Callithrix jacchus: one gene and its partners. The protein of the gene in region 1 interacts with the protein of each later gene in a pairwise test. Links are inferred from orthologs where the notes say so. Each region holds a gene or a part of one and is shown in the gene's direction. Other genes may lie near its edges.

Region 1 (5,767 bases):
CCGGCATCTGGCTGCAGGGATCCTCTCTTCCCTCCCAGCCCTACTTGTCTCTGGTAACAGTGATTGGTTAGCTGCTGATGCTCCCTCACAGCAAGTCCAGATGCCATGATGCTGGGTCACAGCATAGAAAGGTTTAATCGCAGGGTCCCTGAAGGAGCCCGAAGGGAACCTCGAATCCTTCTCTGGAGGAATGTGGGGCTAGGGTTTGTTGCTGCTGTTTGGTGTTTGCTTGTTTTGAGACAGGGTCCAGGCTGGAGTTCAAGGGCACCATCATAGCGAAATGGGAACAATTCTCTTGTCCCCCTGGCAGGGCATGCGATGGGGGACTGGCCAGCTTCTTTGGTGCCCTGCCAGCCAGGCTTCCAGGTGGGTGGTTCCCACTGCAGCTAACCCTCTCCTGCCCGCCTGTGCTCCCGTGGACAGTTTCCACCGTGGCTAACCCTCTCCTGCCCGCCTGCACTCCCCATGGACGGTTTCCACCGTGGCCAACCCTCTTCTGCCCGCCTGCACTCACCATGGATGGCTTCCACCGTGGCTAACCCTCTCCTGCTTGCTTGTGTTCCCTGCAGCAACCAGCAGCCCCATAGTTTGCGACTCCTCTCGTTTCCTTTAACTCTGTGACCTTGCACACCCCTTCCAGGATGAGCAGCAGGGGAGAGAGGCTGAACGATGACAGGGGACTCTTAGGGCCAGCTAGATGGATGAGCTGCCGGGGTTGAGGGCTCAGTAGGGGGTTGGGGAGTGGTGAGGCTTGGGCCCATCCATCTGTTCTCTCTGTCCCGCCCAGGTGTCCCTGGGGTTCCTGTTCCACCCCTGGGCTTCTCTGGGGTCAAGTCCCCCTCCCTGCTCCCTCGCTGGGAGTTGTGCAGCATGGCGCAGCTGTGGAGCTTGGACCAGGGGTTCGAGTCACAGCCAACCTCAGAGCTCCAATCCCAGTGCCCACACTGATGCACCTCTCTTGGGGACATCAGAGCCTCTCTCCTGGCTATCTGGGGAGGCTGGTACAGAGGGAACTGGAGAGATGGGGGAAGTGAAGGGAGATAAGAGGAAGTGGAGGGAGATGGGGGGTGGGGGAAGTGGAGGGAGGTGGGGGAAGTGGAGGGAGGTGGGGGAAGTGGAGGGAGGTGGGAGGAAGTGGAGGGAGATGGAAGGAAGTGGAGGAAGGTGGGGGGAAGTGGAGGGAGGTGGGGTGAAGTAGAGGGAGGTGGGGGGAAGTGGAGGGAGGTGGGGGGAAGTGGAGGGAGATGGGGAAGTGGAGGGAGGTAGGGGAAGTGGAGGGAGGTGGGGGAAGTGGAGGGAGGTGGGGGAAGTGGAGGGAGGTGGGGGAAGGAGGGGGAGAAAGGGATGGGAAGGGGCCGGGGGAGGGGAGCGCAGCACAGGCCTTTTTGTCTGCTCTGATCTTCATGGCCTGAGGAAAAGAGCTGCTCCGAGACCTGTGGAGGCCCCGTGGGACAGAGGATGTTTCAGAGAACACCCGGGTAACCTGCCTCCCGCTCCAGCCCCGAATGACACGGCACTAGGCCCTGTGCGGCCAGAGTCACCCCGGAAAGGTGGGGGCTCACAGCCCCGGCCTGGTCGGCCGCACAGTCCATCCATTCTTACTTGAGCCTTCTCTGCTTCCAGAGGCTGCCCTGGGCGCCTGACCCCAGAGCCATCATCTCTGGCTCCCCAACCGGTCCCCCACAGCCCGGGGCAGGCACCAGCCTGGGGGAGGGTCTCCATGCTCAGTTCCCTCCCCTCTGGTTTGGAGAGACACTGCCTGCCCACGTGCAGTGAGCGGAATCTGAGACCCTGCCAGGGGCCCCATGACACGCCCCCGATGCACAGAGCATGCGATCCCAGAGGCCACCCTGGGCTCTTCCAGAAAGCAGTAGGCCCCAGGATATTCCCCACCCAGGGTGACTGGTGGCAACGCCGTGCCTATCCCTGCTGTCCCCGGGTGGGTGCGGGGATCAGGAGCTCCAGAAGGGCAGCCAGGCATCCTCTGGGACTGGCCATCTGCCCCACTGCTGCTGCAGAGCTGGCCAGAGCTGCCATTCCCTCCATGGGGCCTGAAGACAGTGCCAAGTGCCTGCACCGTGGGCCGGAGCCGAGCCCCGAGGAGCACCGTGGCCCCCACACTCTGTGCTGCCCTGTCCTGGGCCTGGACACCTTCAGAGCCTGGGACCACGTGGATGGGCAGATTCTGGGCCAGCTTCGGCCCCTGGCAGCGGAGGAAGAGGAGGATGGCGCCGGGGCCACCTCGCCCAGGGGTCCTGCCTTCCCCGGCATGGGCTCTGAGGAGCTGCGTCTGGCCTCCTTCTATGACTGGCCACTGACCGCTGGGGTGCCGCCCGAGCTGCTGGCCGCTGCCGGCTTCTTCCACACAGGTCAGTCCTGGGGTATGGGGCTTTCCTGCTGAGGCCCTGGGCATGATTCTGGACTCTTCCAGCCCAGGGTTCTGCCTCCTTCGTGGCACCCATACCCTAGAGGGAAGGGTCCGGCCTGATGACTGAATGGTCTTGTAAGCCCCTTCAGTGGCCATGTCCTGGTGCCTGACACTTTCCCCCAGAGTCTCTGCTGGCCTAGTTGTTAGACTGTGGGACAGGAGGAGGGGCTGCCTCTGGCCACAGTCTGGGAGTCTCAGCTGTGGAGGCTGCTACCTGGGCGTGCAAGTACCCCTTTGTGATATAAGTGGGAGGGGCTGACATTGCCTGGGGCCCTCACCTTCCCCCCACCGCTGGTCTGCATGGGGTGAGATGTTTAAGGAACAGATCAGGGTGACCGAGGCAGGCAGTGCTCAGCTGCGAGGTCCTGGCCACTCAGTCTGTGGGGAATTTCTCCAGGCCCCAGCCCACAGCCACTGTCTGGTCTTCCCCGACGGAACCAAGCGCCCAGAGCCCCTATCTTAGTCTTGGCCTGGGCCTGCTCCTCGGCCCTACATCTGGGACCACGTGGTCAGACCTGAGTTCAGGTCTTAGCTCTGCCCCTTCCTGGCTGAGGGACAAGTACTGGCACAGCCTTGGTCATCGTCAGCAATGGGCTCTGGGGGGCACCGTCCTGGGAAGGCCAGACCAACATGAGACAGCTGGGGGTGGGGACCGTGGCTGAGACAGTCAGGAGCCTCATCGTGAAGGGGCCGGCCCAGCTCACCCACCTCCCCGGAGGTCCAAGGCTCAGCAGGCGAAGGCCGGGCCGAAGGTATAGCAGCTGCAGAGCAGGGCTCTTTGGGGGTCCAGAGGTCCAGCGCCTGCTGCAGCCCAGACCTGTGATGGCAGTGCCAGGTGACATATCCCATGTCTGCCATGAGGGGATGGAGCTGCCAGGAGGTAGAGCAGTGAGGGGTTTCCCACCCCCAAAGGAAGGCATGAGTTCCTAAAACCAAGCCTGGCACCAGATTGGCCTTCTAGGGTAGCCGCCCCCTTCTGCTCACTTGTAATCCATTCTGGGAAGCAGAGACCTGGGGAGGGGCCCTTCTGACTCCCGAAGCCCCAGGGCTATAGATGTGCCAGGCCTTGGGGGGCCCCCACCGCTCACTCTGTGGACAATGCAAATGCCAGCTCAGTCCTTTCCTGAACCTTCTCACCCGTCCTGCCTGGCACCCAGACAGTCTTGTCCCCTTCACTTTTGATGCAAATGGTGTGCATGTGACATCACCCGCCAAGCCCCTGCCCACCCCTCCTCCCTGATACGACCTGGGAGCTCCCCACCCCTCCACCCCAAGCTCTCATAACCTTGGAAGGACGAAGCGGGGGTCCTGGGGCTGGGTGGGGCCTGGCTAGTGCCAGTATCTCTGTCACAACCCAGGCCAACAGGACAAGGTGAGGTGCTTCTTCTGCTATGGGGGCCTGCAGAGCTGGAAGTGCGGGGACGATCCCTGGACAGAGCATGCCAAATGGTTCCCCAGGTACTGGCTGCTCCCGGCACCCTGGGTCTGATCACGGGTCATGGTGGGCCCCGAAGGGCTCTGTCAACCCAACCCCAGGCCTGCTTTGCCTCCCTGGCCCCACAGGGCACTGGGAAGGCCCCTCTGTGGATGGTGCTTCTGCCCGGCAGGTACCCACTTTTCCTGTGAGGGCCCCTTTTGGGAAGGGCTGCTGAGGGCAGAAATTCCTCTCCCACGGAAATACCCTGAAGGCCCACGAGGCGTCTCCAAAGCAGCCCCCCCAGCCCATGCCCACAGGCACTGCAGGGCAGTGGGAGGAGGGGCCCAACCCTGGCCCCAGGGGCTCTGAGGGCTGAAGCTGACAGGAGGCTCGTAGCCCCAGCCTACATCTGGGGGCATCTGCAGGTGTCAGTTCCTGCTCCAGTCTAAAGGGAGAGACTTTGTCCACAGTGTGCAGGAGGCTCACTCCCAGCTGCTGGGCTCCTGGGTGAGCGCCACCTCTCCTCGGGGCTCCGGGAGGCAATGGGGTCCGGCCCCTCCTGTTTCCCCAAGGCACCAACATTCTCTGGCTCCTTCCAGGACCCGTGGGAAGAACCAGAAGACGCAGCCCCTGTGGCCCCCTCGGGTGAGAGCCGACACCACCCTGGCTGCCTCCTCGGGCACCCGCAGCCTGTGCTTGGCCAAAGCTACTGGGTGTCCCCACCCTGCCAGACAGCAAGGACAGTGATGGGCATGACTGGGTGTGAGGTGCCACCAGGGTTGACCTCATGGGGGCTGTGCCATGAGGATGGGGATGGGGCAGCAGGGGCCTCCCGCCAATGCCAGGCCCTAACTCTGCTTTCCCCCAGCTCACCCCTTGGCACAGCCCATTGCCGCCTGCCACAGCACCCCCAACAGTGCCCAGCACACAGCGGCCACAGCCACTGCCAGAGGGGCTGGATGTGCAGAGGGCCTTGGACAAGGGCCAGGCTCTCTGGCAGCCCCTCCAGGAAGCCTCTGGATTCTGCTCTGCTGTGGGAGGGGTGGGAAGTGGTGTGGGAGCAGGGGGACTCTGAAGCCCCTCCGCTCCTGGCCAGAACTGGACGCCACAAGCTGTGGATCTGTCTTCGAGTCAGCCCGGCTTTCCCCTTGGGAGCAAGACCTCAAATCCATGCTAACTGTCCACAGCCCCTGCCCCTAGGGACCCAGAGCTGCCCATGCCCAGAAGAGAAGTCCAGTCTGAGGGCACCCAGGAGCCAGGTACAGGCCCAGGACTCCCCAGGGTGGGGCTGGGCCAGGGGAGGGCTGATGGCACCGGGGGTGCTGGGTGATGCCCACCTTCCACAGCCCATAGAGGGTGGGGGCCAGGGCTAGGGTGCATTCAAAGGTCTATCTCCTAGGAGGAGCCAGTCCAACCCAGGCCCGGCGGGCATGGTGGGTCCTGGAGCCCCCGGGGGCCAGGGACATGGAGGAGCAGCTGAGGCAGCTGCAGGAGGAGAGGACGTGCAAGGTGTGCCTGGACCACGCCGTGTCCATCGTCTTCGTGCCCTGCGGCCACCTGGTCTGTGCCACATGCGCCTCCAGCCTGCAGCTGTGCCCCATCTGCCGGGCGCCAGTCCAAGGCCGCGTCCGAACCTTCCTGTCCTAGGCCAGGTGAGCGCCCAGCGCCCACAAAGCCAGCCCTCCTGTGGAGCAGCCCTGAGTCGGCGAGCCCCACCCGCCCGAACCCACAGAGTGGCCCTGAGCCAGCGAGCCCTGTCCGCCCGAACCCATGCAGACCCTTCCCCGGTGGCAGAGACAGCTGGTCCTTCCCCTGCCCCGCCCCCCGCGCCCCACTGTCAGCGCCTATTAATCTTACTACCTCCCTTGACGCTGAGGTTCCAGCAGGTCCTTCTCAGCACCTTGCCCTGGTGGCCACACAGA
Region 2 (5,877 bases), on another chromosome or scaffold:
GCTACAGGAACGAGGCGCGCTCTTCGGTTGTAGCCAAAGGCTTCATCGTGAACCAAAGAGGCCAAAACGTGCCTCCTAGCGAGGCGAAGTCACTATGCATCATGGGATGCCAGAAGGACCTCCCCGATCCAGGAAGGCGTTTCCGCTCCTGCCGGGAGGTGGCCCTCGTCTAGCAACAGTTGCTAGGAGGGGGACGCAATCTTTTGTCCCTGCTCTCTTTAACCCTATTCATAGAATCCTAGAGCGTCAGATTGGAAGGACCTTAGGGATTTTTCAACTTTCCAACTCTTCCATATATTGATAGAGAGACTGGGGTCCAGAGCGGGGCAGGGATTTTCCCGAGGCCTAGAATCCAGGATTCCTTCTATTTTTGTTTATCTTTTTTTGAGAGAATCCAGGACTCCTAATCGCGTTTACTAAAAAGTGAGCTCCACCCAAGGATGTTCCAGTCTCTGTCTTAAGCACAGGGAAAGGAGGTGGGGGGGGGGGGAAATGTCACAGGTGAGTGAGAGAAACTTTGAGCCAGTGAGTTAGATCCCTTGGGGATATAAAGCACTTTCATATCTCCCTACCCTGTTTTTTTTTTTCTCTTTGCATTTATCACTATCTAACATACTATGTCTTTCATTTATTTCTACGGTCTCTTATTTATTTATATCTGATCCTCCTACTGGAATGTAAACTCTAAGAGCAGAGATTTTGTTTTATTCACCTCCATGTTCTCAGTGTTTGACTACAGGCTCAATAAATATTCGTAGAATAAGTGAATAAATGGGGCTGAGGTGTTGCAGTTCAAGCGATTATATTCTAAGACTCTTAGATTCTTCGAGTATGGCCTATAAAGTCAGATTCGGGTTTCAATCCTGTCCACCTCGGCCACTACTACTCATATGACCTTAAACATCCGTTTCCCTGAACCCTAGGGTCTCTACATCTGTAAAATTGGCGGAAGGCGGGGGGCGGGAATACTTTCTTGGCAGGATTGTAGTTAGGGAGAAATGAGATAAGCTTGAAAAGTGGTTAGCACGATGCCTGGGACTTAGCAAATGCCCACTAAACAGAAACGATTATTTTTGAAATGTGAAAATGAACTGTTCAAAACGATGGGAGGTTAGAGGACTAGATTACTGCCAGCTTTTTTTTTTCTGTGTGAGAGGTGTTAGGGTGGGAGGGAGGGAAGAGGGAAAGGAAGATTGTGTAAAGTGGGCTTGGTCGGATCAGACACTCGAGTTTGGAACAGCCATCTGCGATGTGGGCACAGGGTTGAGGGGGGGAGCTTATGGTTTTATTTGGGGTGGAGGAGGAGGCTAAGGGGAAGCCATGCCCAGGAGGAGGTTGAATGGGGCGGGACAGACCATGGCTCCACAAATGGTTTCCTTTTTGCTAGAAGTCTGACAACTCCTTTCGAACCTCTGTAAAAGCGGGGCCGTAGTGAATTCTGGCGAGGGGCCCGCCGTGGACCAGGAACTGGTGCCACAATTGCAAAGGGGCACCTGCGCCCGGAGGGGGCGGTGACGCGGGGGCTGGGCTGGGCCCTGGGGGCGGGGCGAGGCGCGGAAGTGCCGCCTCGGGACGGGGCGGTGACGGAAGGATGGATCTTGGGGACGTGATTGACTTTGGGGAAGGGGTGGGGATGCGAGCTGGAGCCTGAGGCTGGGCAGTGACGCAAGGACGATTCTGAGGGTGGGGTAAGTGGAGGGGTTGATTCTTGGAGGCGGGGCGGTAGCGCGAGGCTAGACCTTGGGGGCGGGGAGGTGGCACAAGATTAACCTTGGGGGAGGGTTGGGGCGCGGGTTGAATCCTGGGGCGGGTCGATGACGCAAGAGCGAATCCTGGGGGCGGGGCGAGGCCTTGGAGATGTGTCCTGGAGGCGGGGCGGTGACGCGAGGGCGGGTTCTGAGGCGGGGTAGGGAAGTGACGTTTCGCCTTGGGGGCGGGGCGACGACCGGAGGGGCGTCCTAAGGCCGGGGCGGTGACGCAAGAGCGACTCCTGGAGGCGGGGCGAGGCCTTGGAGATGCGTCCTGAGGCGTTGTAGCTAAGACTGACCCGGGGCAGTGACGCGGGGGCGGGATCTGGAAGCAAGGGCGGGTCCTAGGGACCTGGGCGCGCTGCCGAGGCCCGGAAGCGGACGGTGGAGGCTGCTCGCCATGAACGAAGCGGACCGGCTGCTTCTGCAGCGGCACCGGCGGCTGCTGGTGGAGGAGCTGCGGGTGGACCAGCTCTGGGACGCCTTGCTGAGCCGCGAGCTGTTCAAGCCCCACATGATCGAGGACATCCAGGTGCGCCCCCGCCCCCGGCCTCCTGTTCCCGCGCTGCACGACCAGGTCCCCACACCCCTCGAAGAGCCATTGTGTGGGAGCCCAGCTTTCCCTGTGGGTGGGTTCTAGTCCCCCAGCGGAGCCAAAGAATCCCAAACACCTCTTTCTTAGTCGGGTGTTCGCTAAAGCGATTCCACGCCATGCTCAGAGTACACTGTTAGTGCAGGAGTGTCTTGTGTAAATGAAAAATGTGAGACACATTTTGAAAACTGAGTAAGAAGCAGTTCTTGAATTGGAGAGCATCAAACTGAAAGAGGTTTAGTGTTGCAGTGGCAAAGCGTCAGAGGCAAGTATTTATTGGGAAAACGTGGAAGCAAAATAGAGGAATTATTTGATTGGTTTGCAGTTACAAAATTGCCTTTTTAAAAAAAGGTCTTCATTGTTTATGCTTGCTTATGATTGACTAGAGTTAAGTTTTGCTTCTCTCTAACATAAGCATTTATCAGATATGACCCAGGTTAAATTTTGCTTATCTTTGCAGTTTAAACAATATTTAGGTCACTTAGGATGCCTGATTAGTATTGTCTGCTCAGGAATTCTTCAGGGTTAGTCTCCATTTTAATTTACTTTTTAACACTTGCAAGGAAGGAGGTGTGTGTGTTTTTGCTTTTCTAGCGTAGAGGTTTCGGCCACCCGCTTTGGCATCAGACTGCCTGGCAGCCTGTTCTTGGGCCAGTCACTTACTCTCTTTGAGCCACAGTTTCCTGGGCTGTGAAATGGGAATACAATAATACTGTAATGAGGACTAAATGAGTTAATGGATGTGAAACAGTGTAGAGCCAGGCACAGACCCTCAGGCTGTCTGCCCTGCCCTCTTAGGCCAGCCCTTTCTGTGTTCAATTTATGTTTTGTTTAGAGGTTTTGGAAATAGGGGACCTGATGCAGGCAATGGAGAATAATAAAGTCAAACATCTAAGGTTTTCTTTAAAATCACTTTCCCATCTTTGTCTCACGTGACCCTCACCACAGGCCTGTGAGGACAAAGGAGTTATTTCCCACCATGAGGTACAGTGGGTGTGAGTGGCTGGCTGGATATCCCCAGCCGGTGCCCTGGTCCCAGTGAAAGAGCCTTTAAATAATTGAGTATCGGCCGGGCACAGTGGCTCACGCCTGTAATCCCAGCACTTTGGGAGGCCGAGGCAGGTGGATCATGAGGTCAAGAGATCCAGACCATCCTGGTCAACATGGTGAAACCCCGTCTCTACTAAAAATACAAAAAAAAATTAGTTGGGCATGGTGGTGCGTGCCTGTAATCCCAGCTACTCAGGAGGCTGAGGGAGGAGAATTGCCTGAATCCAGGAGGCGGAGGTTGTAGTGAGCCGAGATCGCGCAATTGCACTCCAGCCTGGGTAACAAGAGCGAAACTCTGTCTCAAAAAAATATAAATATAATAATTGAGTATCATATGAGTAATTATTCATTAATAATAAAAGAAGTCTTGTGACTTCTGTGTGACCCCTACTGGGGAACAGAAGTGGTTTGAGGCCACAGTCGTTGTTTTCAGGGATGTTCACAGGGATCAATGCCCATGGAGGCTTGATGGATGGGCATCATAGTGGATAGCCTTTGCACTGCCCTCCGTCTCCAGCTGAGGCTGGATATGGCCATATCCGCACATGGCCCAGGATTGCCAGATCTTTTGCTTCTTCGGAGGCAGGGTCTCATTCTTGCCCAGCCTGGAGTACAGTGGTGAGATCATGGCTCACTGCCACCTTGACCTCCTGGGCTTAAGTGGTCTTCCTGCCTCAGCCTTTAGAGTAGCTGGGACTTTAGGCACATGCCACCATGCCCGGATAACTTAAATTAAATTTTATTTTTTTGTACAGATGGGAGTCTTACTGTGTTGCCCAGATGGGTCTCAAACTCCTGGCCTCAAGTGATTCTTCTGCCTCAGTGTTGGGATTACAGGCATGAGCCACTGCACCCAACCCAGCTTTCCCATTTTAAGAAAGAAGTTGGAAATCTTGATTCCTCTGTCAAATTCCCTGGCTTAAATCCTGGCTTAAAATGTTAGCAACAAATTCAGAAATTTTTAAAGAACTTTGTGGGAACCACGGGTTGCGATTTTGCCACCCTGGTATGGCTGAAAAACCCACAGGTTTTGGAGCCAGTTGGATCTGGACTCTCATCCTAGCTTTGTTACATATTGGCAGGTTGTAAAAAGCCACACTCGATGAACCAAACAAACAAAAACCCTTTCTGTGACTCAATTTCCCTGAAATTTTTTGCCCTAAAATGTTGGGAAATTGAAATTTAACTTTGTAAGGTTATTGAGGGAGAAAAAGGTGAAACAATGCATTTAACACAGTGCTGACCTCCTGGAGTGCTCAGCAAATGTGGAGAGAAATCCAACCACCACCATCTGTTTGCACATAGTCAACTGTTCTGCTAGTGAGACTCAACTACAGGTCTGTGTTGTTCACAGCAGTAGCCATTGGCCACATGTGGTTAATTAAAGGTAAATTTGAAGTAATTAAGTAAAGTTAAAAATTCAGTTCCTCAGTTGTACTACCCAAGGGCTCAATGGTCACGTGATACACGGTTACCGTATGGGACAGTGTCCACTAAGAATATTTCCATCATCACAGAAAGTTCTCGTGGACAGTGCTGCTATAGGGTGTTTGAGGACACGGTGCCATCTTATCTCTGTGGATCCTGAGAACTTAACCAGTGCTAGGTCTCTGAGGACAGGTGGCAGATAAACAGAATCTTCCATCTGTCTTAGTCACTGACCCCACCATCCTGACGCCTGTCAACTTTTTTTTTTTTTTAATTTTTTTGAGACAGGGTCTTGCTCTTTCGCCCAGGCTGAAGTGCAGTGGTGTTATCACAGCTCACTGCAGCCTTGACCTCCTGGGCTTGAGCCATCCTCCTGTCTCAGCCTCCTGAGTAGCTGGGACCACAGGCATGTGGCACCATACCTGGCTATTATCTTTGTTTTTTGTAGACACAGGGCCCCGCTGCATTGCTCAGTCTGGTCTCAAACTCCTGGGCTCAAGTGATCCTCCTACTTAAGCCTCCCAAAGTGCTGGAGTTGCAAGCATGAGCCACTGAACCTGGCCTGTCTGTCAACCTTGATCCTTGCTCTGCCTTCATAGTCGCCTAGTCAGTGCCCACATCCTGTGGCCCCTCCCTCTGTGTCTTGTCTTTGTTCTTTCACTTCTCTCTATTCCAGCTGCACTGTCTTTGCTGCCTCCTGTGTCTCACTCTTTTCCATTTTTCACCCTGACCTCAGGAAGATTTTTTGAAAAGGTATATCTGTCTCTGTCACTCCATTCTTAAAACTCTTACATGGCTGGGCATGGTAGCTCACACCTGTAATCCCAGCACTTTGAGAGGCCGAGGTTGGCGAATCACATGAGGTCAGGATTTTGAGACAAGCCTGGCCAACATAGTGAAACCCCATCTCTATCAAAAAATACAAAAATTAGCTGGGCATGGTGGCGCATGCCTGTAGTCCCAGCTACTGTGGGACTACAGGCTGATGTGGGAGAATCACTTGTACCTGAAAGATGGAGGTTGCAGTGAGCTGAGATGGTGCCACTACATTCCAGCCTG
Region 3 (5,800 bases), on another chromosome or scaffold:
AGTAGCTGGGATTCCAGGCATGCACCATCATGTCCAGTTAATTATTTGGATTTTTAGTAGACACGGGATTTCACCATGCTGGCTAGGCTGGTCTCAAACTCCTGACTTCATCATCCACCTACCTTGGCCTCCCAAAGTGCTGGGATTACAGGCGTGAGCCACAGCCCTGGCCTGGAAACTTCTACCTGGTCCCCCTTTGAGTATTCCAAGTTTCTTTACATTCCAAGATTAGGATTGAATAGTGATAATGTAAAGTGCTCAAAAAGTTTTTGCACTCTTCAAAATAGTTTTTTTTTTAAGTCTACTGGCACAAATACATATAGCATTGGGTGATTTACATTAAGCCAATAATTACTTGTACCATGACCTATGTATATGGTTGAGTCCTCTTAGGACCACTAGGGGGCTCTGTTAGAAGGGTTTATATAATTTATGTCAGTCCACTTAGGGGGAATGTTTTGAGATATTTTATAGAGTTCTGAACTCTTAAAACTTGGAAGAGATAATCCAATCCAGTTTTCTCATTTCGCAGATGAGGAAATCAAAGCTGGCAAGAGAGCTGGCATGGGAGTAAACTGGAATTTAAAATTCTCCTCTTGGTACCTGGGGCAGGAGTTTAAGAAATTCTCTTTTGCCTTATGCCGCCACTGATTCACCTCCATTGGCTATTTCCGTATTTGGTGCCACAATTATAATTACTTTTGCTAAGACCATGTGTTTGTGATATTTTTAAAATAAGATATTTTATTGGTTGGCTAGGTGAAGGCAGTACATGAAGTATAAACTTCTAAAATAACATCTTTATTACTCATTCTAAAATGTTCTATTCAAAGTGTTTCTCAGTACCATATCATTATTACTATGAGCCTTAGAAACCACTCTAAAAAAAAAAAATTATTATTATCTTTAGAGATGGAACTTCACCATGGGGCCCAGGCTGGTGTCCAACTCCTGGGCTCAAGCGATCTGCCACCATCGGCCGCCCAAAGTGCTGGGATTACAGCACTGAGCCACCGTGCCCGACCAGAAACCACTTTCAAACTGACTTTCCACTTAAAGTATTTTGCACTTTTTGTTCTGTTTTGTTTGAGACAGATCTGTCGCCCAGGCTGGAGTGCAGTGGCCCGATATCGCTCACTGCAACCTCTGTCCCCGGGGTTCAAGCGATTCTCCTGCCTCAGCCTCCAGAGTAGCTGGGATTGCAGGCGCCCGCCACCATGTCTGGCTGATTTTTGTATTTTTAGTAGAGACGGGGTTTTACCATGTTGGCCAGTCTTGGTCTCGAACTCCTGACCTCAAGCGATCCGCCGTGGCAGCCAAAACATTTTACTCTTACGTGTACTCATTTATTCATTCAATATTTATTGAGTGCCTACTAGCACCAGGCACCTTTGTAGGCCTAGGTTTACAGAAGTAAAGCTCCCCTCCCCCACCCCCAGTGCCCTGAAAAGCACTATAATTGTTTCTATTTCTCCAATTTTCACTTTTATATGAATTTTCACATGCTTTAGTTCAGACATGGGCACAAGAATGAGTGAGAGAGAGAGTGTGTCTTGGGGCCATCCTACACTCTAGGGATGGGCACAGGAGTGAGTGTGTATAGGAGTGGGAGTATGTGCTCGCGCGCGCGAGTGTGTGTGTGTGTGTGTGTGTGTATCAAGCTCTGTATTATCTAAATAGGTCAAAGATCAACATCTGGCTTCTAGATCCATCATCAGGCCTCTCCACGTAATACCTGTCTCAAACCGGATCTGATTCAACAATAACCAGCCTTAATTCAATAATCTGTGCTACCTGAGATGGTGGGAATAATCTTGGTACTATAAATGTTGCAGAACAAAAACGACTGCAGCGGATTTTCTGGGGCTACACCAACTGAAAATGGGCCGGATCGAGTTCCGGGAGAGCGTTTTCCTGCACTAGACGTTTTCCCGCACCCGGCGTTCAGCCACCGGGTTCCGGGTCTAGCTGAGTCAGGAAGGCGCTCCAGCCGATTGCGGCCTCGGGAACCGTTCGGTTGCACCCGAACCTTCGGTCAGAGTCCAGGGGTTGGCAGCCCGGACCACAGCACCCGGGTTTAAACAGAAGTGGAGGCGCCGGGGAGGACCGGCGGTCCCGGCCAGTTTGGAAGGCGCACCCTCCCGGCTCCAGACGCCGGCAGGGCGGAGTCAAGCGGCCGCAGCCCCAGTCGAGACGCGCGCTCGTGGCTCGGGCGAATGGGGGCTACAACGGGAGCGGCTGCGCCGCCCGGCCGGGTCAGCATCATGCGCATGCGCGGACCCGGCGCCATTTTGGTGGCCGGGCGCGGAGGTGATTCCACACTGAGGAGAGCGCGGTGGCCGGGGTGGTAGTGGCAGTGTTCGTGTGCTCGGGTCTGAATCGCTGAGGGAGGAGGCGGTGGAGGAAGAGGTGGCGGCGGTGGCGGTGGTCGTAGCGGTGGCGGAGGAGGCGGGTACGAATCAGCTGCGGGCGGAGACATGGCCAACATCGCGGTGCAGCGAATCAAGCGGGAGTTCAAGGAGGTGCTGAAGAGCGAGGAGGTCAGAAATGAACTCCCGGACATCCCCCACCTCTGCCCGGGCGGGAGGGTCCTCCCAGCGTGACCCCGATATCCCCGGTAGTCCCTGGGTGGCCCTCCTTGCGGCCGCCCTTCTGCCTGTGGGGAAGCAGTAGTGCTCCCCTCCTCCTTCCGCCGCCTTCCCCTCCCCTCCCACAGCGCTAGGATGGACGGTCTCGGCGGGCGGGGGGTCTGGGGTGGAACACAGTTTGGGGAACTGATGGACAGGGGGGAACTCCTCGGCGGGATGGAAGCTCACGAGAGAACCCGAGGCGGTGGCCACAGCTGGAAGTGTGGCTCTGGGGTGGGGAGGGAGCAGGCCGAGCCCGAGAAAACCCGGGAAGTGGGTTGGGGGAAGGGGAAAGGTGGTAACTGTATCCGGAGGAGCCGGTGCTGCTCTAAGGCCCACACTTTTGAGGATATTCTGGGTTATTGCCTGTCAGGCCGTCACCGTCCTTTTCTTAGGGAAGGAGCGGTGAGTCCTTAGGTATCGATTAAAAAGGAAGGACATTCAGAGTTAGTCCTTCTTAGTTGGGTGTTAGGAGTCAAGGGGAGAATAATAGAATACTGTCTTATTCGGTGGCAGGGATAAGGGAATTTTCACCTCTGTTAGCAAGTTAATTCCAAATGAGATCGTTATGTCTTTTCCACTTTACCCCCAAATTCCTAGGCCTCGTCTTTATCGACATCTCAGTCTTTGAGTGGGCAAAGGCAAGGTGTTTGGTGTATTAAAGACATTTAAATATTTTTAGTTAGAAAAAAAATGGAATGTAAGAGTAGCTTATTTCAAAATATTGTTTACAAGTTACAGATCAGAGAGACTGTCCTAATACAGTACCTCTGTGACTAGTGTTGTGCCACGAAACTTCATTATGATGTCCCTCATAGTTAACTTGATTCTTACTTTTGAAAAGTAGACCTATTAAAAACGTGTGCTTTTACCAGATTAATACACTGTTTTATCTCTTTATTGAGTAGATTTATCACGATATAGCAGATTTTCAAAAAAATTGCCTCCCGTTGCTCTTAAATCCTGCAGAATTTAGATATATTAGTACGTTTAAGTAAGATATTCACAATGCTCTAGTAATTTGACTCAGAATTACATAAGTATTAGTACAGTTTTTCATACCAAAAATCAACAAGAATACCAGATTGCCTTCCCCACAAGGATTAAACAAAAAGTAATACAGAAAATGGTTATTTTCAAGATTCACGTACCATTATTGAATATATCGTTGCTTTTGTGTTTTTTCTTTTACGGTTAGTACTTCGATAATGTCGATAGTGATTAGTGAAATTCAGCATTCTAAGTATGTGATGAGTAGACATGAAGAAAAAATTGTTTAAAATTCAAAAATGACAAATAGGCTTCTTGAAAGTAGTAGTATGTAAGTCATGATCAGTTTTACAGAGCATGTGTATGAACTCTGACCTCTGTTCATATGCCAAAACTCTGAATGGAAGGATGACTTTGTATTTTGTGGTACAGTGCAGAAACAGAGTCATAAGTGTTTGTATTGATAACAGTGAAACAGCAATTTTAACTTAATATGAAAATGTATTCCAGGATATTTGACATATATACTTCTAATGGAAGATAGCAGCTAATATTGTTGCCAACAACCTAAAACATTTCTTGTTTAATAAGGTTGTAGAAGCTTGAAACTTAATAGACTTTTAATGCTTTATTTTCTATTACTGAAAAGTGGTAAGTTACTACTCTAGTAATTTATATGGTCTCTGCTTTTTATGAGCTGACTTCACCGTGGTATTCTTAGTACTTAACTTGAAGATTACCAGAAATACTTGTATTGCTCTCTAGTAATGCATATTGTTAAAATAACACTGCTCATTATACATAAGGGATGATGGTTTACTTCAAATAAGTATCATAAGCGTTTCAGAAGAAGAAAATAGGGACGACAAACTTTTTTTTTTTTTGAGAACAGTACCTATAGAAATATGGAAAGAAACTTCTTCTAGGAAAATAAGTTGCAAAGAACATTTAGGAAAAGTTCACATCACTTAATCTTGGAATAAATATAACCAATAAATAGCTTATTTTCACCATTATTTTTTGACATTTTAGTGTCCCAGATCTATAAGTAGATTGTTATTTTCAACTCATTGAAGGACTTGTAGTACAGTCCATGTGTTTCCTTTTTAAGGGTGTAAATCCAGTCTTTTGAATGGCTGATCAAATAACTATTTCATCATGTCACTTTTTTGGTAAATCTGCACTTTACCAAAGTTTATTTCATATGCTTGTGTGCTTGTGTTTAGTAAGAACACTGGTTGATTTAAGGACTTTTTGGGGTGGCCTTTTAAGTGTCTTTGTAGAGATAGCTGACGCTTGTTGGATTGTGGTGGCCATTCTTAGAGTGTGTTAATTAAAATACAGCCAACAAGATAAATGTGAAAAGCAAGATACAGAATAGTGTGGGAGAGGCCACCATTTGTTTCAAATGGAGGGGAATATGTGTATTTGCCTGTGCAGGTAAAAGGTTTCATGAGAAATTGGAAAAATTGACTGCTTTCTGTGTAGGGGAATTGGGTCTCTGGGGCATGGGGAGTAGATATTTTTTGAATTATGTGTCATATGAACGTGATTTACTCAAAAAAGGCACCATTTGGCCTCTTTCCCTTAAGACAGTGTTTGGAAATTTGTCAGATGTTTCTTTTTAATTTATTAATATTTATTTTCTTTGTTTTAGATGTTTATTTTTAAATATGAGTATGAATTTTAAGTCGTTTTAAATAATATTCCAAAGTTGTTAGGCATGGAATATTGATATAAAGTACATTTTATAATTATTTTATGAGTTGGATTACATAAGTAAATTGTTGATTATGAGGATATAAAACCCTCTGAAGAGGCACATCTAAAAAAAAGGATAATTATTCATAGGTTGTATTTTTTACTATTAATGCTGCTATTAGTAACTAGCTGCCATTTGTAGAATGGCTGGTTGTTCTTAGTATCATTTGTTTATACATTATTGCTAATTCTCAAGAACAGTTCTTTAGATTTCCTATTTCCTAGGTGAGAATATAGAGATTCAGGCAAGCTAAATTATTTGTCTGCAAACATGGAACTTGGGATTTGGATCTAGGTCTGCTTGTGTTCATATTATACCATGCTGTCATGACTTTCCAAGGATAGGCATGCTTTTATTTATTTAAAAAAAATCGAGCTTGGTTTGTATTACTGGTTAAAGGATTTAAACACAGTTCAATCTC
Region 4 (5,684 bases), on another chromosome or scaffold:
TAGCACTGATTAAAGGATGAACAACAACAAACAAAACAAGCCAGGATTATATCTAGTTCTTGAAAAGTCACTCAAAAACTATGCCCTGATATTCTGGTTCAGAGACTGTTCTGGTGCTGGGAATAAAAAGATAAACAAGATAGAGCCTGCTCTGGGGGGAAAATTCCAGCAATATGAAAGGATGGCAGTGCTGAAGTGCTGTCTGTTGGAGGCAAGTGTTCTATAGGAATACCAGGAGAGAACAAACTGGGGATGGGATTGAGGAATGTGGAATAGGGGAAGTGACATCTGAGGTAGGTTTTGAGGGAAGATGAGTAGTCGGCTAGATGGAAAAGAGGAGGAAGGCGCTGTGTTATGATTATTTGTGTTCAATGACAGGTGCAGTGATGAGAGGTGATGAGGTCACGAAGAGGGGGAGCCCACCAGAGCACAGGGCTTGTAGAGTGCATGAAGGAGTAGGTATTAGGAGGGAAGCTTCTTCAAGAGAAGGCTCCTCACCTGCTTCGCACCTGGGCAGGCTCCACATCAAAGTAGGGTCTCAGGATGTCGATGTTGGCATACAAGCTGAAGGCCCTGGAGGCTTGTCTCTTCCCAGCCTGCCACATCTGAAGGAAGATGGGCATAGGTATTGTGGAACTCTTGGCATTAGACCCTGTTGCCTATTTTCCATTTGATTTCTACCAGGACAACCTGGGGCGACACACCAATACCAACTCCAGGACATGGGACACACCTAGGTTTACTTTTCCACCTGCAGGGGATTCCATCTTGCTTACCTGATCAGCCACCTGCCGGCTCAGCTGTCCCTTAAAGCCCTTCATGCCCAGGAACTCTCCATCCTCTTCTTCAGCAGCAGCCGCATCAGCGTCTGCATCAGCGTCTACTTCTTCCTCGCGCAGGCGCTGATGCAGTTCACCCATATCCTCGAAGCTAGAGCCTGAGGTATCATCCATGTTCTCCATGTCAATCACAGCTGAGCCTCCGCCCTGTTAAGACAATGGCTCCTAGAGTGCAGGACTTTTCTGTTCCATCCATTAAGTCCTCTGCTCATCCCAGGGCTTAGGGCTTTGTTCTTCCACTGCTGAGGATACGGCTTGGAATCACTACAGATCATGCCACTCCATTCCCCCTCATTTGCTCTCAGAACGCTTGATTTATAGCTTTGGCTATCTTTTCTAGCCTGGGAAACCAACTAGTCTTCCATTCATGTCTTTCTCCTACCTTACCTATCAAAGACTAAAAGCTTGAAAAAGAATCCATTTCTGTCTTTCCAAAGCCCCAAACAAAACTATGAACACAGTATGTTTTCGGCGAGTGCCAGTGAATCCCACCCAACCCCACTCCAGGCCTGACCCCAACCAACCTCCTAACTTGTTCCAAGAATACGTTCTTCCTAACGCCTCGGGCGGGCCCAGAGACCCGAGATCCTCAGGCTGGAGTAGTAGACTAGTCTGGCCCTTTCAGGTCAATGTTAACTCCACTGACTTTTGTGTGCAAGACCCAAAGAAGGCAGTTTTGCAAATGGAGTGAACTTCCAGGCCCCGAGGGAGAATCCCCAAGACACTTCTGGACATCGCCGGCCCTCGGGTTGCTGGCATCTGGTGCCTTGGGGCCATTACCTGGATGTTTTCTTCGAACCCTCCCCATTCCGGGCCAGCTCCGTTTCGGGCGCCGCCCGTCGGCGCCGCTGTAGTTGCCATGCCCTTTGAGGGCTCCCGTCGCTGAAGCCCGCGATAGCCCCGCGCGCAGGGAAGTGTGCGAGATGTGAGTCCCAAGAAGGGAGAGGTCCCAGGTCGCGGAGAGGTGGGATCAGCCGGAACACAAAAAGGAGAAACCCGGATGTTTGGACAAAACCAACTTCCGGAAATTGGGGACGTGGATGAAGGTGGAGCAAAGTCTCGCGATATTTAAGATTCCAGGAGGCGGTGCGTTGCCACGGAGATGGAGCAGTGCTGCTAGAACGCACGCGCCAGCTAGAGCCTGTAGTCTTTTGGAGAGATTGAACATGGCGGCTACTCAGGCCGTGGAAGAAATGCGGAGCCGCGTGGTTCTAGGAGAGTTTGGGGTTCGCAATGTAAGACTTGTGTCCTTGAGCTCAGGCGGGAGGAATGAGAGCGGAACAGGGATGGGTCTTGGGATTGGCGTGGGGATAGCCGTAGGCTCACTGTCCATTTGTGGACAAACTCATCCCTTTGCTCTAGGTCCATACCACTGACTTTCCCGGTAACTATTCCGGTTATGATGATGCCTGGGACCAGGAACGCTTCGAGAAGGTCAGTGGGGCCAGAGTTGTCCGGGGATTGTTAGGAGGGCCAGACCCTGTGGTCTCAGCAGCATGTGTCTGTCTCAGTAGCTGCTCTTGGGGGTCGCTCCGTTTGTAAGTTTTGTTGAGCAATGTGGTAGACCTCCGTTTACAGGCCAAGTTAGACACAGTTTCTACCCAGTTCTGCAAACAAGATGTTCAGTCTTGTTGAGGAATGGTGCGTATAAACAAGTGAATCTAGTTTAATATGGTAAAGGTGGTTGATAGCTGTGAAGATGGCAGGATTCGTGTGGGGAACATTATGCTGAGACCAGGAAGAGGGGCCCAGAGGTACTTAACATTTCTTGAGGAGGGAAGATCTGAATTGAGCTTTGAACGGTAAGTAAAGAACAGGAGTTAAATTAGGAAGGCTTTGAGTTTCAGGTCAGTGAAGTTGAGGATATACAGGTTTTGTGTGTATTTAGTCTATTATTGTTTCACTTAGCTTAAAATAAGGATTAAAATTGCATTTAAATAGATCACTGAATGTTACTGTTTATGCAACTGAACTGTGTGTGCAGTTTATAAAACATGATCTATAAATCTGTGCTTGGGAAAATTTTACTTTTTTTAACCTGTTGATACAGGAATAAAGTATGAACAATGAAAAAGGCTAATGCTTGAAAAAAAGTTATGGTGTGAATTGTGCTCCGGGAATGTCCAAGCAGTTCTGGCACTAGTGGTAGGCAAGATTGAAGTGTGTCTTGGGCACTGTTGATGATAGGGAGCTTGAATAGTTAAGCAGACATGATTAGATTTGCAACCCTGATAGCTGGGAGGGAATGAGTTTGAAGAGGATCGTATGGAGCAGGCAGATCTGTTGTAAGGGAAGCTGAGGTTGAAGGTATGAACTAAGACTGACGGTAGAAAGAGAGCAAAGGAAGAAAGAAGGTAAATTTGTGATTGCTTTGGTAAAGGCTGTTGGGGTAGCATAAAATGACTTTTTGACTTGGGAACTGCTTTGATGCATTGTGGTATCATTTACTGAGAGAAGAAATGGGTCTGGGGAAGAGGAATGATGATACGTCGTTTCCTGCATTTGGAGAAATCTAGCAGGCTAGAAGACTGCATATTTGAAATGAGATCAGAAGGGAGGTAAAATTTTGGGAGGTGTCAGCACAGATAGTTGCTAAAACCGTTGTTAGTGTGGTTAAGGTCACCTGGGAGAGAGACCAGAACCTGGTAGATTTAGAGATGGGTGGACGTTGTTGATCATCAGAGAAGGAAGAATGGAGCTCAGAAGCCAGGAGAATAGTTCAAAAAAGGAGGGGATTTTTTTTTTTTTTTTTTGAGATGGAGTCTCTGTTGCTCAGGCTGGAGTGCAGTGGCAGGATATCAGCTCACTGCAACCTCTGCCTCTTGGATTCAGGCAGCTCTCCTGTCTCAGCCTCCTGAGTAGCTGGTATTACAGGTGCACACCACCATGGCCGGCTAGTTTTTTGTATTTCTAGTAAAGATGAGGTTTCACCATGCCAGTCTCGAACTCCTGACCTCGTGATCCAACCACCTTGGCCTTCCAAAATGCTGGGATTACAGGCATGAGCCATTGCGCCTTTCCAGGAGGGGATTTTTTTAATCAATGCCAGGCGTAACAGACGTCTAGTAAAAGGACTGTCTAGTGTCAGCATGACTAAGCAGTGAGGTGGGTTTCTGTTCTTAGGACAATAGCTTCTGTGGATGGTTTGGTTGGGAGCCATATTGGATAGGGTTTTAATGAATGGAAGACAAAAAATGGACACTTTTCATGAACCTAAAGCAAGCACTGGACGAGAAAGAACATTTAATAAGGGACGTCTGGGCAAAGGGTGGTTTTTGGATGAGTGGATAATACTTGGAATCATCTGAGGGGGAGGTATGAAGAGCTATTACAAAGAGAGCAGGCTTCACTTAATCTTTTTCCTGTCCCTCTAGAATTTCCGTGTGGATGTGGTACACATGGATGAAAACTCACTGGAGTTTGACATGGTGGGAATTGATGCATCCATTGCCAATGCTTTTCGACGAATTCTGTTAGCTGAGGTATTGGCAGGCATGGTGACAAGGTTGGATTTGCTTTGGGAACTGCACTGACACTTGGAGTGTCACTTGGAGAATTAAGTGTCTCAAGCTGTCCTTCCCTTCTTATTTTTCCTGGAGTTTTGCTGGCTAAGGATTTTACCTTCTCATTCTTTGTAAACTTCTCATTAAACATTCTAGGAAGAGAGATAGCTCCCTACCTCTGGAGGTTGGAGTTTGTGGGGATAGGTAGGGGGTCTATTGGGTTTTTGCTGATAAGTGATTTTTTCCTTGGGCAGGTGCCAACTATGGCTGTGGAGAAGGTCCTGGTGTACAACAACACATCTATTGTTCAGGATGAGATCCTTGCTCACCGTCTGGGGCTCATTCCCATTCATGCTGACCCCCGTCTTTTTGAGTATCGGAACCAAGGTGAGAAAATGAAATTTTGGGAGAAGTGGACTGTCTGGGTTTAAATCCTGGTTGACTGTGACATTGGGTAAGTATATTAGTGTTTTTCATCTGTGAGAACACTTGCCCTCTCTTCCCAAGTTTGCCAAGATAATTAAATGGGAAATATGTAAAGCATTCAGCATAGTGCTGGCACTCAGATATTTACTAGTTCTTAAGAGCTCTCTCCATTGGTGCAGGAGATGAAGAAGGCACAGAGATAGATACTCTACAGTTTCGTCTTCAAGTCAGATGTACTCGGAACCCCCATGCTGCTAAAGATTCCTCTGACCCCAACGAACTGTACATGAACCACAAAGGTAAGTAGTGGTAGAGTGAGGAAGAGGGCCCACCTGTGGGTGGCTGCTAGTTTTAGGGACTGAGATCCTCTGACACGTTTTTCCTGCAGTGTATACCAGGCATATGACATGGATTCCCCTGGGGAACCAGGCTGATCTCTTCCCAGAGGGCACTATCCGACCAGTGCATGATGATATCCTCATTGCTCAGCTACGGCCTGGCCAGGAAATTGACCTGCTAATGCACTGTGTCAAGGGCATTGGTGAGAACCCTTGGGCCTTCCTGGGAAGGGCAGTGGGGCCAACTGACTGAGGAACTCAGCCAAGATATTCCCCAAAGGTAGAAAGCCAACAGGGTTATGTCTTTTGCTGTAAGTAGCTTAGGAAGAATGAAGAAGGGTTTCCTATAGGCAGATTTTCCTTCTTCCCCTCCAGGCAAAGACCATGCCAAGTTTTCACCAGTGGCAACAGCCAGTTACAGGCTCCTGCCCGACATCACCTTGCTTGAGCCCGTGGAAGGGGAGGCAGCTGAGGAGTTGAGCAGGTGCTTCTCACCTGGTGTTGTTGAGGTGCAGGAAGTCCAAGGTATGGTATTTGGGATGCTGTTCAGGTCAGGACACAAAGTATATTTTCTCTGA
Region 5 (5,788 bases), on another chromosome or scaffold:
GAGAAAAGAGGGCACCTATTTCATATTCTACTTTTGGATGCCTTCTTGCTTTTGTGATCTCGACCAGGCTTCTTGTGTAGGTTACAACTTATTTGTGGGTGTGAACCCGGGCTCCTTTTGTAGGTTATAGTTTATCTGTGATTGTGAACCGCTTTCCTTTGCCTGGTTCAATTTCTTCAGTGGTCTAGGAAAGAGACCTGTCTCCTGCCTCAGTCTCCTGAGTAGCTGAGACTACAGGCGCACACCACTACGCCTGGCTAATTTTGTATTTTTAGTAGAGATGGGGTTTCACTGTGTTGGCCAGGATGGTCTCGAACTCATCACCTTAGTTGTTTTGCCTGCTCTGGCCTCTCAAAGTGTTGGGATTACAGGTGTAAGCCAAGTGACCTGTTTTAAATCCGTGGGCCTCTCTACCACTCACTTCTTAGTCCAACAGCCCTTCACATTCCTGCTGCTTGGGAAGATACTGGGGACAAAAAAAGCCTCATACATTAAGAAGCCATTTTCTCTCTAGGATGGGCACAAGGTGCAGGGCTATTTCCTTACATGAGTAGGTATTTTAAAGCCTGGGCAGGAGATGCCATGCTGTAAATTCAAAATTAAAAAAAAAAATTAATGCGAACCTTGTTTTTAACTTCAAGAATAGTCTTTATACTATTCTCCACCACCTTCCCATTGGCTGGGTAGAAATAAGGATCACCAAATGAGAACAGGCTATTTACTCAGAGCTGCCTAGGGAGGTAGCCGCAATCACTTGGTTTGGCAGACTCATAGGCAGGCAGGGGAATGGAAAAGCTCTACATATAGCGAAGAGGGAGAAACTTCAAATTGGCTCTCATTGGTGGCTGCTGGCACCGGGAAGTTGGAGGAGGGTTAACTAGAAGCAGAGCTTCTTATGTGATTGGTTTTGGGGGAGCACATTTGGCTTTTTCTGATTGGCCCAGAGCTGGAAGCAGCGGCAAGAAATAGGGAAGCTGCCAGTTAAAAAGACCAAGTCCTGACCATTCTGGGCCGATTACTGCAGAGGTCATGGGTAGGAGTTTTAATGTCACATAGGTTTGGCCATTGTTTGTATATTCAGTCTCAATTGCACGAGACCCAAATTTTTAGTTTCTCTTGACCTAGTTAGCTTTTAGCTCCAAAGTTTTGTTTAACTTGAGAGAAAACAGCAGTTCTATTATTTCTATCAAGAGTGAACAAAGACCTTGGGATCTGAAAAGTAATTATGGAAACATACAAAAATATCTTTTTTTTTTTTTTTGAGACGGAGTTTCTCTCGTTACCCAGGCTGGAGTGCAATGGCGCGATCTCGGCTCACCGCAACCTCCACCTCCTGGGTTCAAGCAATTCTCCTGCCTCAGTCTCCCGAGTAGCTGGGACTACAGGCGCGCGCCACCATGCCCACCTAATTTTTGTATTTTTAGTAGAGACGGGGTTTCACCATGTTGACCAGGATGGTCTCGATCTCTTGACCTCGTGATCCACCCGCCTTGGCCTCCCAAAGTGCTGGGATTATAGGCGTGAGCCACCGCGCCTGGCCAAAAATATCTTTATACTGAGGGCCAGGCAGAAGAATCACTCTCTGCCTTCAGGTTCTGCATTTCCTTACAGAATTTCTATTTCCATTATAGCTGACGCTTCAGTAGCTTCCCTCCCTTTGGGGGAGTCCCGGCCCCTTCCACCCCCACTTTCTTGAGTGTCGCCCTTCGAAGGCAGGAGAAAGGGTTATGCACTACCAAGCTCTGCGCCTTACAACCCAGTTTCTCCCCCCACCACCCTTTCCTCCTAGGTGCGCTCTCTCGGCTTGCCACCCTTCCACCAGGCCTCCCCACTCCCCCTGAGCAGCGCCCCCTGCGCGGCACCCTCACAACCCAGCTCCTGCCCCACTCCCAGTTACGCCTCCTCTCCCAGTTCCTTCCCGACAGGTCTCCCAAGATACGCCCTCACAGTCGGGACCCCTGCGGTCCTCTCCGGGCGCGCGCTCAAGCCCGTTGCCTTCCTCCTGCAGCCCCCCGAGGCGCACTCTCAAGCTCCGTGCCTTGGCCCCCAGCCCCCCAGGGTCGCCCTCGAGTCTGGTACCCACCCTATGGGAACCCCTCAGGCGCACCCTCAAGCTCGGTGTACCCGCTTTATCATCCCCAGGCGCGCCCTCTGCCCGTGCCTTCCCCCAAGGCGCACCCTCAAGCCAGGAGCCCTACCCCTACCGGGCGCGCCCTACAGGCCAGCCCCGCCCCTCGGCGCAGCGCCCCCCGCGCGCGCTCTGGAGTCCTCCCTCCTGCCTCCAGGCACTGCCAGTCCTCTTTCCCGCCCCCACGCTCAGAGGTGAGCCGGCGTCCCCACGCCGCTAGCTCCGCGCCTTCCTGCATGGACCCTCGCCCCGAAAGGCTCGGAAGCGGCCCCCTAGGCCCGGCCTCAGCCTCCCGGGCTCGCAGGAGACGTCAGGTCAGCTTCCTGTCCCCGAGCAGCTGCCCTAGGGCCAGTTTTCAAAACATATCCTTGGTCATGGAATAAGCAGATCCTCCTCTGGTCTCAACTCCCAATTTTTACTTTGGAGGGGCGAAGGCAGGGCGACCCTTGCCAGCCACTATTCCCCAGTCGCTTCGCAGCTGTGGAAAGCAGCCCTCCTGTCCCTTCGGAAAGAAACTCGTATTCCCCCTCGAACTTTTCCTGTCGGTGTGAAAGAAGAGCCCTCCATTTTCTTCTCGGGAGGCTTTCGCGGCCCGGCTTCTTCCCACCACCAGGCAGGGGAGGCAGTGACGCCGCCGCCGCGGCGGCCGAGGTTTCGCCATCTTGAATGGAGGAGGAGCCGCGGTCGCCGCCATGAGGAGAGACAGGGAAAGAGGGAGGAGGCAGCGGGCGGGCGAGCTGGCGAGCGAGGGAGGGGCAGAGGCGCCGAGCTAGCTCAGCCCGGCGGCGACTTCGGCGGCGCCACGAGAGCGGGCAGCGGAGGAGGTAGGGCTGGATGGCCGGGGGAAGCCAGCGGTGCTGGCGGCTGGGCTACGCGGCCCTCGGTGTGAGGCGGGGCGGGGGGGCGGGCGGGAGGAGGCCGTAGCGAGGGGGCCGGGTGGGGGCGGGCGGAGGTTTCCGAGGAGGAAGGAGCGGCCGCCATTTTGGGAGCTTCGAGTCAACAATAAAGGACCGAGGGCGCTGAGCGGGAGTGGCCTCCTTGGTGGGACTCGGCCGGAGCCGCGAGGCCAGGGGTGAGGTGGTGGGGTCGAGGTCGGAGGTGCTGTGGGGGCTGCGGGGAGTACCCCGGGCCGTCTTTGAGGGGCTACGTCGGGCGGAGGCCTAAGGCCTGGCCGAGTCTGGGGAGGAAGGCGGGCGGCAGCTGTTTGGGGTGGGGGCGCCTGAGAGGAGGCGAATATAGGAATGTGGTGCGCGGCAGGGTCGGCAGGAGGAGTGGGCTAAGTGCTCGGAGGAGCCTTATGGAAGTCGAGGGAATATGAGGCCGAAGGGGGCGGCCAGGACTTAGGGGGATGATGGTGGAGGTTATAGGGTACGAGGCGGCCCTATAGGGGGCGGCAGGGACGTTGTATTGGAGAGCTCGGTTTGGAAGCGAACCCGCCGCTGCTTGATTGCAGTAGGCCTTGCGGGTCAGTAACAGGAGGGTGCTAATGGAGCTCCCGACTGTTGGAGGAAAGGAGGGGGATTTCTGGGTTGGGGGGGTCCCTTCGGGGTCTCCTGGGGAGAGTCCCTATTGTTTCCTACTGGCGGAGCTGGTTGCTGGCTCAAATTGCGCAGATAGGATTGCAGAGCCCCTACCTTTTGTGTTTATGTTCAGAGGGAGCTGACTTGAAGTGTGTTTTGAGGGGTGAGGGAGAGGGCGATGAATTATTTCCCTGCAGTTACGCGGCTTCCGTCATTGACTTGTCTCTTTCCCTGTCTCTCTCTGTTTTCTCTTCCACAGCCCCCTTTTTCCCTTCAGAATAAAACCCTGTCACCCCAACTTGCAGGCAAAGCTTAGAGAAACTGCTGCGCTGCATTTGCAAATAAAAGCTCTTGTTGGCGATGACGATACTGTTTTGGGTGTGAAACTGTCAATTGCTAACTACGATCTGAGGAGTGCTGTAATTAACTCGCTAGGGGCTCCTCCCAACTAGTCTACGTTTCTAGTCTACGTTTCTTTTTTCTTTCTTTCTTTTTTTTTAATGTAGAGCGATAACTTGCAAATCTAAATTGGGAAGGGGTAGGAGGAATATTTCCTTCTCTGAGACAAAGCTGCAGTGCAGGTTTCAGTTTAAGAAGGGAGCAGTTACCACATAGTCTCATTTTGGATTTAAGGAGATAGGAGCTCTTACTGTGCATGATGGACGGTAATGATGATATCATTTGGTCTTTAGAGGTTGCCCTTTTCATCCTCTTAGTGCTTTGCTAACAGCTAAGTCTGTGTGAACTGCGTGAATCGCTGATCATAATATAAACCCGTCAATACAGGAAAGTAGCTGTTAACCATATCTGCTTAAGAGGTCAGAGTTAGAAGGACTTCCGAATAAACAACTTTGTGTATGTGATAATCAGGATTTGCTTGTGAGCAACTTGTTCAGTTTTTTTTTTAAGGAAGGCGTAATGAAGGAGCGTTTTCTCATAAATTTTGAGATCTGTTGACTTGAAAATTTTTAGTTTCAAATGCCTTGGGTGTATAGCAGAATCAACACTCGTAAGCTAGTGTATTTTAGGTAAGAAATGTAATGGGGTTGCCGGGTGCGGTGGCTCACTCCTGTAATCCCAGCTCTTAGGGAGGCCGAGGCGGGCGGATCAACTGAGGTCTAGAGTTTGAGACTAGCCTAGCCAACATGGCGAAACCCCGTCTCTACTAAAAACAGAAAAAATTAGCTGGGCGTGGTGGTGGGTGCCTGTAATCCCAGCTACTTGGGAGGCTGAAGTAGGAGAATCGCTTGGCTTGAACCTGGGAGACAAGAGTTTGCAGTGAGCCGATATCGTGCCACTAACACTACAGCCTGGGCAGCAGAGCTGAACTCCACTTCAGAAAAGAAAAGAAAAGTAACGGGGTTAAATGAAAAGCCAAGAGAGTAGGGCTTTGTTTTCAGGTCTTTGTATGTTTTTATTAACTACAATTAAAAGTAAGATTTAAGCCGGAGCGGTGGCTCACCCCTGAAATTCCAGCACTTTGGGCAGGCACTTGAGGTCAGGAGTTGGAGACCAGCCTGGCCAACTTGATGACACCCCGTCTCTACCGAAAAATACAAAAATGAGCCGGATCTGTTATCTCGGCTACTCGGGAGGCTGAGGTAGGAGGATCACTTGAACCCAGGAGGCGGAGGTTGCAATCAGCTGAGATCGGGCCACTGCACTCCAGCCTGGGCAACAGAGTGAGATCCTGTCTCCAAAATAAATAAATAAATAAATAAATGTGAGATTTCCATTTACAGGATAATTTTAAAATGAGGTTGGCCATTTTTGTTTTGTTTTTGTTTTTGAGGCAGAGTTTTGCTTTTTTGCCCAGGCTAAAGTGCAGGGCGCCATCTTGACTCATTGCAGCTTCTGCTTCCTGGGTTTTAGCGATTGTCCTGCCTCAGCCTCCCAAGTAGCTGAGATTACAGGTGCCTGCCACCAAGCCCAGCTAATTTTTGTATTTTAGTAGAGACAGGGTTTCACCATGTTGGTCAGGCTGGTCTCGAACTCCTGACCTCAGGTGATCCACCAGTCTGTGCCTCCCAAAGTGTTGGGATTACAGGCCTGGGCCACTGTGCCCATCTGCCAGTTTTTTTTGTTTTGTTTTGTTTTGTTTTAAGTATTAATTAGATTTACTACTCTGGGTTTCTTGGAA

The links.
Region 2: the proteins of BIRC7 (region 1) and CASP9 interact in binary tests that used the Homo sapiens proteins (3 or more experiments, as listed by UniProt). The two-hybrid records come from large-scale screens. The link is inferred for Callithrix jacchus from reciprocal best matches to the Homo sapiens genes BIRC7 and CASP9.
Region 3: the proteins of BIRC7 (region 1) and UBE2K interact in binary tests that used the Homo sapiens proteins (3 or more experiments, as listed by UniProt). The link is inferred for Callithrix jacchus from reciprocal best matches to the Homo sapiens genes BIRC7 and UBE2K.
Region 4: the proteins of BIRC7 (region 1) and POLR1C interact in binary tests that used the Homo sapiens proteins (3 or more experiments, as listed by UniProt). The two-hybrid records come from large-scale screens. The link is inferred for Callithrix jacchus from reciprocal best matches to the Homo sapiens genes BIRC7 and POLR1C.
Region 5: the proteins of BIRC7 (region 1) and DDX6 interact in a two-hybrid assay, tested with the Homo sapiens proteins (3 studies listed by BioGRID and IntAct). The two-hybrid records come from large-scale screens. The link is inferred for Callithrix jacchus from reciprocal best matches to the Homo sapiens genes BIRC7 and DDX6.

What each region holds. Positions count from the first base shown.
Region 1 is NC_133506.1:58,737,454-58,743,220, forward strand, and holds the start of BIRC7 (baculoviral IAP repeat-containing protein 7), read left to right. Parts: upstream 1-2,035; 5' UTR 2,036-2,044; coding exon 2,045-2,369; intron 2,370-2,718; exon of another isoform or gene 2,719-3,263; intron 3,264-3,786; coding exon 3,787-3,886; intron 3,887-4,270; coding exon 4,271-4,352; intron 4,353-4,444; coding exon 4,445-4,490; intron 4,491-4,713; exon of another isoform or gene 4,714-5,032; coding exon 5,033-5,104; intron 5,105-5,244; coding exon 5,245-5,492; 3' UTR 5,493-5,767.
Region 2 is NC_133508.1:52,840,213-52,846,089, reverse strand, and holds the start of CASP9 (caspase-9), read left to right. Parts: upstream 1-1,985; 5' UTR 1,986-2,148; coding exon 2,149-2,280; intron 2,281-5,877. UniProt on the Homo sapiens protein: Involved in the activation cascade of caspases responsible for apoptosis execution. Binding of caspase-9 to Apaf-1 leads to activation of the protease which then cleaves and activates effector caspases caspase-3 (CASP3) or caspase-7 (CASP7).
Region 3 is NC_133504.1:154,117,972-154,123,771, reverse strand, and holds the start of UBE2K (ubiquitin-conjugating enzyme E2 K), read left to right. Parts: upstream 1-2,288; 5' UTR 2,289-2,477; coding exon 2,478-2,540; intron 2,541-5,800. UniProt on the Homo sapiens protein: Accepts ubiquitin from the E1 complex and catalyzes its covalent attachment to other proteins. In vitro, in the presence or in the absence of BRCA1-BARD1 E3 ubiquitin-protein ligase complex, catalyzes the synthesis of 'Lys-48'-linked polyubiquitin chains.
Region 4 is NC_133505.1:51,997,960-52,003,643, forward strand, and holds the start of POLR1C (DNA-directed RNA polymerases I and III subunit RPAC1), read left to right. Parts: upstream 1-1,982; 5' UTR 1,983-2,005; coding exon 2,006-2,074; intron 2,075-2,201; coding exon 2,202-2,273; intron 2,274-4,213; coding exon 4,214-4,321; intron 4,322-4,596; coding exon 4,597-4,729; intron 4,730-4,947; coding exon 4,948-5,067; intron 5,068-5,156; coding exon 5,157-5,309; intron 5,310-5,481; coding exon 5,482-5,631; intron 5,632-5,684. Other genes in the region: protein YIPF3, read right to left, coding at 499-605, 777-986, 1,620-1,700. UniProt on the Homo sapiens protein: DNA-dependent RNA polymerase catalyzes the transcription of DNA into RNA using the four ribonucleoside triphosphates as substrates.
Region 5 is NC_133511.1:18,432,073-18,437,860, reverse strand, and holds the start of DDX6 (putative ATP-dependent RNA helicase DDX6), read left to right. Parts: upstream 1-2,290; 5' UTR 2,291-2,322; exon of another isoform or gene 2,323-2,442; intron 2,443-2,885; exon of another isoform or gene 2,886-2,952; intron 2,953-3,107; exon of another isoform or gene 3,108-3,200; intron 3,201-5,788.